Linked DNA regions of Caenorhabditis elegans. The protein of the gene in region 2 interacts with the protein of the main gene of each other region in a pairwise test. Each region holds a gene or a part of one and is shown on either strand. Other genes may lie near its edges.

Evidence for each region. Proteins that work in one complex are often made in the same cells at the same time.
Region 1: the proteins of memi-2 (region 2) and ceh-34 interact in a two-hybrid assay, tested with the Caenorhabditis elegans proteins (one large-scale study listed by BioGRID).

Annotation. Positions count from the first base shown.
Region 1 is NC_003283.11:5,314,983-5,321,200, forward strand, and holds ceh-34 (Homeobox protein ceh-34), read right to left. Parts: upstream 4,596-6,218; 5' UTR 4,455-4,595; coding exon 4,420-4,454; intron 3,815-4,419; coding exon 3,724-3,814; intron 2,576-3,723; coding exon 2,390-2,575; intron 2,252-2,389; coding exon 2,033-2,251; intron 1,983-2,032; coding exon 1,924-1,982; intron 893-1,923; coding exon 712-892; 3' UTR 608-711; downstream 1-607. Other genes in the region: C10G8.2 (BPTI/Kunitz inhibitor domain-containing protein), read left to right, coding at 134-195, 243-324, 366-607. UniProt on the Caenorhabditis elegans protein: Acts as a transcription regulator. Binds to the sequence motif 5'-TCAGGTT-3'. Binds to the cis-regulatory element of proapoptotic factor egl-1 gene and together with eya-1 activates egl-1 expression to promote motor neuron M4 sister cell apoptosis.
Region 2 is NC_003282.8:13,398,531-13,402,067, forward strand, and holds memi-2 (MEiosis-to-MItosis transition associated), read right to left. Parts: upstream 1,977-3,537; 5' UTR 1,976-1,976; coding exon 1,496-1,975; intron 1,447-1,495; coding exon 1,264-1,446; intron 1,221-1,263; coding exon 1,029-1,220; intron 979-1,028; coding exon 796-978; 3' UTR 538-795; downstream 1-537. Other genes in the region: cyp-31A5 (CYtochrome P450 family), read left to right, coding at 2,776-2,868, 2,915-3,318, 3,366-3,462, 3,514-3,537.

The DNA.
Region 1 (6,218 bases), on a different chromosome or scaffold from region 2:
CATCGACAAACCGGCAATTTGGCAAATTGCCGGAAAATAAATTCGCCGAACGGCCCCGCGCTGATTGATTCTGCCGCTATGATTCATTCAAGCTATTGGAACTCCAATAACATGATGTAAAAAACTTTTTTAGGCAACTATAAAGGATGCCCATTTCATCGAAATCCGGCTATACCCCAGCAATGCGCAAGTCATGTAAGAATTTATAGTTTTTCTTACGAATATAATTTTTTTAATTTCAGAAAGATTGTAATTGGAAAACAAGCAAAATCAATTCTCATTATTGTACTAGAAAAGGAATATGCTGTCAATCAAAAGATTTAGGTAACAAGCGGAAAAGGGCATTCGAAAATTCTCATTTTTAGAAGAGCTGAGATCGGAGTTCAATGTAACATGCCCAGACGGTCGTCGGAAAGTTGAATATACTTATAAAAGCACAACGAGACTGTTAATTGGGAAGACGTGTTCTTCAAACATTTGCCCACTCAACGCCATGTGCCATCAAAAAAAGTATTTTTCATTTTGTTGTAAAAAAAAATATAATTTATTGATTAAAGATATTTTGTATTATGAATATCAAAAAATACTGTCTTTGGGAGAAAACTGAAGTTTGGAAGAACCGATGAGTTAGAGTACTTGAAATGGCAGGGAAGGTATGTCAAAAATATAGTTAAAAGTTATTCTAATGGTCTTGAGGGGGAAAAGCAGTCATCACAAATTCTGAATGTATGAAAAGTCACAATGTGGAGCAAATGTGTAAGGTGATGGATAATAGGGTTGTAGATCAAATGAAGTTGGTAATGGCGGAGGCGCAGGGCTGTCAATATTCATCGGAGGTTTTGATTCACAGCCAGATGATCCATCGTCACTGTCGTTGGATCTGGCGGAGCTTCTGAAACATAGATATTTTGATATTGGGACATCTTGAAAGAGTGTTTCCGAGTTTTTTGTTCATACTACATTCAAAGAAACTCTCCCAACTGACACCTTCCCCGGTCATAAAACTTATCGCTTCTATGTCTTGTTTGAGAAGCTCTTCATATGTTCTGAACAAGAAGAGGATCTCCGCCAACAACACGAACAATGCGTATTGTTCGAGCCGCGACAGGATCGTGTCAACGACTCTTACTGCAAAGTTTGGGCAAACACTAATGACAGCGGGGTGCCCTTTCTTTGCACCTTTTTTGAACGAACGAGAAGCTGGATATGGTAGGAGGTGGAGATAAAAGATGGAACTATTATAAATTACAACTATGTAAACGATAAAAAAATTCAAAACTTTGAATTTTACCGTATTTTCCATTGCTCCACTTTGACAGCTTAAATCTCAGCTGACATTTCGACAAAAAAATACTTTTCTGTCAAAATGTAGGAAAATATTTGATACATAATTTGTCAGTGGATAATTTTTTAAATAAAATCAAAGAGAAACGAGATACAAGCTGTCAAAAAAGAGCGAACCAAAACGACTGACAGGGAAAAAGTAGGTGTTTTTGTTCCGGAAAACTATATTAAATTGAAAAACCTTTCTGTTAACTTTGAAGCTATTTCACTTTAAAACTTATATCAATGTTGATTTCAAAGTCAAATTAGTTAAAGGCAACCGTAAAATCACATTAACTTTGCTTGTTTGAAACATAATGTTTTTTAAAAGAGAATTAAATTTTGAGTATAAATAAAAATTCTAGCGTTAATAAATAGTGGCATACTTGGAAAAAAAAATCGATTTTGACCCATTCCAAGTAAACTTTTTTCCTTTTTCAACTTATTGCACCTCATCTTTTTTCCCATTCTCTATGACAAATCTTGACTGCAGTTACTAGATTATCCTTAGTAATATGTCCGATTGCGCAAGCTTAAACACACACCAACTCCACGCATGCAGACCATTACAACCCCACTCGCCAGGAGGACCATACTCACCTATCGAGTTGACCAGCTGCCCTCTCACGTTGCCTCTTGTTTTTGAACCAGTTGGACACCTGCAAAAGTTTGTGTTTTGGATAAGTAACGAATTGAACTCAAAACTAACTTGAATAATTGATAATTCAGTTTGTTGAGCTAATCGTCTTTTATCTTCTACTGATGGGTACTGGCATTTCTTGTAAGCATCCCGAAGAACATTTCGAGATTTCGACTTAAAGCAATAATTTGTCTCTTCTCCATCCCAAATTGTGTTTGGAAATGGGTTCTTCTTTCGGATCCGGTATTTGCAAACCGCTCCTAGCTCCCGATCCTTTGTTTTCGCAGCCTGTAAACTTTGGGTTAGCTAATATTGATCTCAGATTCGCGGACTATGATATAATATTATGCAACGTTGGCTTATTGAACTGGACAAGTGGTCCCCAGATCAGTCAAGTATTAACACCCTAATCCTTCCGATACTCACCTCTTTATAATGTGCATCAAGCCACAAATTTTGTAGAACTGTGTGATTATGTGGGGAAAACTTGCTGCATTCCAGTAACTTGTAGAGCATCTTCCAGTTTTGTGTTGTAAAATACACAAGAGCTTGTGCTTTTAAAACTGATTCCATTACTTGGTAGCATTGTGGAAGGTTGTAGATGAAATTGGCCTGAAAGTTGAAATATAGAATTTTTAATTTTTTTTTTTTGAAGCTGCTTTTTTCAGTACGAAAATCTAGCTTTTTGTATTAAAGTTTTGAATAAAAATTAATAAAAATGTAGGAAAACACCTGATTGAATCGAAAATGTTACTCATGTTTGTTGAAAAAATTGCGAAAAATCTCGAATAGTACTTGAAAATTGCCGTTTCAAGAAAAATAAATTAAAGTTTACAAATAGTTTGAAGCAAGTCTCTATGAAGTTTTCAAGAAAATAAATATCGCTTTCGAATTAATCGAATTTTTCTATATTTTGACATGCATTTTTAATTTCAAAAATTGGACCACCATAACTAATTCGACAGTTTTGTCAATTTTGCAGAACAACGTACTGACGCCCTTGTTAAATATTAATAGGATAGTTTTTTTTTTTTTAATTTTTAGATTACGTTGCATTGATGACCTTAAAAAATGTATTATTTTCCTGTTTAGACTTTCTCTTCCATTGCTTTACTATGACGGCTCATATCTTATCTGTGATGGATTTTATCAAAAAAAATTTCAAAGTCAAAATGTGTTATAGAAAAATATTTTCTATGTATTTTGTCAGTTGACAATTTGTTGATGAAAATCAAAAAAGGCAAGATATAATGTGTCAAAGTGGAGCACAGAAGTTGCAAGTTCAAAACGGTATCCCCATTTAGAATAAATCTAAATTTCTGTCTCTATAAGGTTCCAACATCTGCTCCCACTTTCCCCACATCGTCATCATCATCAAGCTTTCATCCATAATGGACTTTTGTTTGCTTTCTAGAAAGAAAAAGGGAAAAGCGCGCGTGCGGCAGCTACCGTACTCGCTTCCTTCTGTCACCTTTTTGCTTCACGTTTTTATCGTTCGACTCTTCCAAACTCAAAACCGCAAAATTCAAGCAATTGGAGAAAAGAGGGGGAGAGAGATGATCTTCAGTGAGAGACTACGTCAAATGTTTGTCAAAACTTTTGATAAGTGACACATGACACCTGCGTTCGAAGCAACAAGAAGGAGAAGATTATGATGAGGTAGGGGAGAAAATGATGATCGAAGCGAAAAGAGACGGAACCCACAAAATTCGCAACAAAATAAAAAATGAAAAGTTGATCTGAATTTGAAAGAAACTCACCAATTGCTCAGTCCGTCCTGTCTGAAGTCCCTCGTTGAATAAGGACTCACAAATACACACAATTTCTTGCTCCGAGTAGGATGTGGTTGCTCTGGAAATTCAAAAAATTAAAGTTTTTACGTAACTTGGAAAAAATAAACACTAAAAAATTCGGAGGGGCAAAACTTATAATTATTTTAGGCAGTTTTACAAAATAGCATATTGCGAAAAGTTGTTTCTATATTTTTTCATAAAATGTAGTGCCAAAATATAGAAAAATATTTGATTGATTTGAAAATAACATTCGCTCCCATTTAAAATTGTGTAGAGAAGCTCAAAAATTGGAGTTTTTGCCGAACTTTTTGAAACTGAAATTCGAACATTTTTTCGAATCAAACAAATATTTTTGCATATTTTGGAACTAAATTTTGAAGGAATATATTGGATCAACTTTTCGTCGAATTCGATCTTTGTTTTTGGAATTCCACACTCCTGATTTGAATTGAAATCCCCTTGAATTAAGGAAAAGAACACCACGGTGAAAAACGAACTCATTCGAAGACTGAGACGGTGGAAGGGGGAAAAGAATCCTCTAAAGTAAAACTATCGCTTGGCGCCACCGCCGCCCCATCGGTGTCGCGTTGCCACGTATACAATTACCAAAGAAGATCGTAACCCGAGCTTTCCCGAGTTGTTGCTTCAAGGATCTCAACTTACGTCAGACTATTTTGCGGGTTATATGACTGCTGCATGTTCGATGAGCCAGATCACAGAAGACGTGATCCTAAAAGATCCGTCGATCCGGCGCCGGTAGGAGCTGACAAAAAGAGAGTAGGTGGTGAGTGGTGCTGTGAGCCGAGAGCGTCGTCCTCTTGTCGTCCCCCAGTGAATGTCGCCTCCCCGTTGGCTCACCCCAGTGTGTGTGTGTGTGCTCTTGGCCACGCCTCTATTTTCTCCGTCGAATAGGAATGAACGAGCACCAAAAGATCGTACTGTATCAATGCTACCATTTTGGAAGTTTTCATGGAACTTTTGTGTGATAACAAATTTTTTGAAAAAATTGACACAGTGGTAATGGGAGATCTTGAAAAAGTAGGAGGAGGCCGCTTGGACCGGAGCGCAGAGTAAGAGTATCCGAGGTTTGAAATTCTAAACTTGCCTATTATTTTCTCATTGCCTTCCTTCTCGCGTCGTTTCTTCGGGCTAGCTCCTGGTTTCTTTTCGGGTTGAATCGAAGCAGCATACAGAGACATTCAGTAGTGTTAGGGAGACAGACGCCAGGAGTTGGAATATCATTTTACACCTGTACCGATATCTATTTCACCAGCTTCTGCCACACACAACCCGTACCACCACACTTATTTCACTCCCGCATTTCATAGTGATGATCACTTGAGTTTGATTAAATTTTTAAGTTTTCGTAGTGTGTATATCTACAAAATGACCTATTGCGCCATATTGCTCCAACATTTTTAATTAAAATTTAGTGTCAAAATGTAGAAAATCGCTTGTTTTATCTGAAAATAGCATTCATTTGTAAAAATCTTCAGTAATTGCCTGAAAAGTTGTGGATTGCAAAAAAAAATTATGCTCAATAATTCGAACCTTCGATAACCGGGAAATGACAACTTTCAGGTCATTTTACAACTTTCTCAAATGTTTCAGTTAAAATAAATACAATTAGCAAATAAATCAAGTAATTTTCTATATGTTGACTCTGTTTTAGGTTTAAAAAAAACTGGAAAAACATGGTTCTATCGTTCATTTTGTATAATTGCCAACAAATAATTGCCGCTGATTTTGAATGACTAAATTTTTGTGCTCGGAAAGTTTTTATTCCAAAATTCCAATTTTCGTTTTAGTTACCTGTTGAACAGTCTATCCCCTCTCTTTACCTATCGTCCATTGTCTCAAAACTATTATATCATACTCCAAGTACCTTGCGCAATCAAACATTGACTCTGGAGTCTAGATCAGAGGTTGAACATTTTTCTTCTACCAACTGCTAAAATCAAGATTGATTTCCACTTTATGCTCATTAGCTTTCTGTGTATCTTTTGACCATATTGAGCAGCATCATGCGCGGGCGCTTAGCCGTACAGATGTTCCAGTAAACCGGGTGCTTTCTTGTCCAAACAATGGCAGATGATAACTGGTTTACACGGTCATGTTTATGTACTGGACACACGTCCTTTACGAGAAGTGGCACTACAACTCGTGTTGCGTGAGCAATAACTGTACTTGGTGGACCTGTGAGTTTTTTCTGCACATTGACTGTAAAGTTCACTTGATCATTATTTTAGGAGTTGAAGTAACACTGTCTGAAAAAATCTGTCTTGCATTTTTCATTACTCTCAGCTCACTCCTTTCGTGGCAAAACCGGTCAACTAGTTTTAAGATTTTAACTATGTGCTCAAAAAAGTTCTGAGTAAAAAACTTTGAGTACATAGATATCTAGCCTCCATCAGGATTATCAAAAATTTAGAAAATCTCTAAACGGTTTTAGTAAATCTTTT
Region 2 (3,537 bases):
GGAATTGAATAGTTCTGGCAAATTGGCAAAACGGCAAAATTCCGGCAAACTGCAGGAATTGAAAAGCTTTGGCAAATTGGCAAACCGGAAAAATTCCGGAAAATTGCCGGGATTGAAAAGTTCCGAAAAATTGGAAAACCGGCAAATTTCCGGCAAATTGGCAAACCGGCAAACCATTTTTAAAACTCACAAGTACGCATAAATGAGCCAATGAGCCAATTCAATCATCGTCGGCCAGCCAACACAGAGCACAGATTATATGCCGAAACGGCAAATTTTGTGAGAAATGGAAATCTTTAGCCTCGCGATGACATTTCAGAGGCAGCAGCTGTTATTTGGAGCCCCGCACGTGGTGAGAGTGAGAACTCGAACAAAATTTAGAGAGGAGGAAAAGTTGTTGGAAAACGATCAAAGGTGAGTGTGGAGAAACGGATATGAGTAACCGGAAGAAGTTGTTTTTTGGAGTAAAGTAAAAAGAAGTTGTTTTTTGGAGTAAAGTAATTTAAATTCCAAATATTATAAAGACAACTACTGAATGTAATATATAATTCATCTCATCGTTAAAAAGATTGCAAAATCAACCAGTTCATATTCTGGCAATGTTAATTCAAGCAATATACATGTTAAACATAAGCAAAATAGTTTGGGGCAGCGGAGAATCTATATACAGGAAACGACCAAAACAAAAAAGGAAAATAAAATAAAGGGGAAAGTTAGTTGATATATTCAACAAGAACCACTGATACAATAATACAGAATTATGTACATTACAAATTATAGGACATATGTCTGGAGTTACTCGTCCTCTTCATCCAGTTTGAATGTCTCGAGGAACGTGATCAGGTCCTCGACTGGCACAATTCCCTTTCCCAGCGGGATCATGTCCTTTTCGATCTCAAATTCGTGGATTTCGACTGGATCTTCGACAATCAGCACACGTCGGTTCTTGCACTTCACTGTTTGCTCCAATTCGATGTACTGAAAATTTCATAAATTGAAAATCGAGATTTTATTGCTGCTCAACTCACTCTACTTCTCCCTGAAGTATTCCTGGCGTTCGAGTTGTTATTGTACACGATCCTCGTTTCCACGTGGCGCTTTCCTCGGATAGAACACGTGATTGATGCAGTCGAGGCCATCAGTCGGCCTTGTGAATCGAGTCCTGGCTCGAGATTTCCGTATTCCCGGCAGTTTGTGGTTCGCAGGTGACGAGTGGTAGTCTGAAAAAGTTATTGGCATGAAACAGAAAACTGTTTCTCGTACTCTGCCCTGTGATCGGTTCAACGTTGCCACCACAAAGCTGTCTGTCATCTGGAATCCTTCGTTTTCCATCTCCAGTTGTTCGAGCATAGCAAACAATAGATGGAATGGCATTTCAGTCGTTGCCTGGATCGCGAATCGAACCACATTTTGACCCGTCTCTTTCGGCTCGGCCAGGAAGGAAGTCTGAGATTAAATTTAATTCTTTCAGGAAAAATATTCTCAAGAAATTAACCAGAATCAAACTGGAGATATCCTCGACCAACAGCATGCGGCACTGAGCGGCGAAATAGTGTGGTCGCTGATTGGGATGAAGGAGCACGTGCTCGACAAGCGCTTTCTCCGATTCTCTGGTCGTGTTGAACCATCTTTGCGAGAAGAAGTCGTAGCGCTTGAGACGAAGACTTTCAATCGGCATTGTTTGAATGCTTCTGAGCACTTTGACAGCTTCATCGCGGATGACTGTCTTGCTCGGCTTCTTGTCGACGAGCTTTGGAGTCTCATCGATACGATGCAGGGAACGGTAGTTCTGATCGTCGACGAGCTCCACGTCTTCTCCATGCCCTTCGATAATTACATCATGATTGATGTTGGGTTGTGGTGGGAGGGCAGAGCAACCGGCTCGAGCGGTTTCCAGGTGATCTTCTTCGTTGTAGTTGACCACGTATCTGGTCGCTGTCAATTCGCGAAGAACGGTGCGAGATGGAGCTGACATTCTGAAAAATTTTGGTGTAAAAAATTAATGGAAAAGAAGAAAACAATGTGCTCAAGTGATTTGCAGATTAAGAATAATTTACCGATAAAGCTATGAAAAAGATTCATTAAATCTCTCTGAGCATCAGCTTAATACATCAGCAAAGAAGAAGAATTCACACGATCAAAAAATTTTGTTGGGCCTAAAATAATGAAATTGTTGCGCTGATTTTTCGCGGGGAGATCATTCATAAAAATTACAATATTCATTCAAAAATAAATACTTTTGGATTTGTTTTATTCACTTTTTTTAATGAAAAATTAACAGTGATTGGAACTTTTTAATAATTAAATCAAGATTTAAATATCAGAAAACAACAAAAATTCGTTCGAGAACTTTCTCAAGCCTACCGTACTCTTTAAAGGCGGCGCCTGAAGATTTTCACATGGCTATCACCACGACGCAAGTTAAATTTGACTTTTTACTTATAATTCGTTCTTTTTATTGCGATTTTTTAATATTTTCAGCATCGAAAAAATTTAACAAACGTTTTTCTTATTTTTAAAACGCTTTTGATGCTTTGTGCTCGTCTTAAAAAAAGCTGAAACGAATAATTCTCAAAAAAATTCGTCTTTTCTGGGTTACCGTACTCTTTAAAGGCGCATAACAATTTTCACATAGGTCTCGACAAAGCGTGGGAGAAATTTGAATTTTCAATCAAAAAACGTTTGTTTTGTTGCGATTTTCAGGCTTTTCCTCGAGTTTTCAACGCTTTTTGCTCGTTTTTTTCGCTCAAATAAATTATTTCAGAAGATTCTACAATGGGGGTTATCATCCCCGCTGTACTTCTCGCTTCGGCGACGGTGATTGCTTGGCTTATCTACAAACACTTGAGAATGCGTCAAGTTTTGAAGGTTTGATTGCAAAATTCATTTAAAGATAAATTGAATAAACTTTCAGCACCTCAACCAACCACGATCATACCCAATCGTCGGTCACGGACTCATCACAAAGCCCGATCCAGAGGGATTCATGAATCAAGTGATTGGAATGGGATATTTGTATCCAGATCCACGGATGTGTCTTCTCTGGATTGGTCCATTCCCATGTCTTATGCTCTACTCTGCCGATCTTGTTGAACCTATTTTCTCTTCCACGAAACATCTGAACAAAGGGTTCGCATACGTTTTGCTTGAGCCATGGCTTGGAATCAGTATTTTGACGAGCCAAAAGGAACAATGGCGTCCAAAGCGAAAACTATTGACACCAACCTTCCATTATGATATTCTCAAGGATTTCTTGCCGATTTTTAACGAGCAATCGAAGATTTTGATTCAGAAATTGTGTTGCCTCGGTGTAGCAGAGTGAGAATTTTAATTCTTACATAACTCTTTCGAACGTTTTATTTCAGTGAAGAAGTTGATGTTCTCTCCGTCATCACCCTTTGCACTCTTGACATCATCTGCGAAACTTCCATGGGAAAAGCTATCGGTGCTCAACTCGCGGAGGTTCGGGAAATTCTTCCATCTATTTAAATTTCTAAATGTTTTTTTTTTCAGAATAACGAGTATGTATGGGCGGTG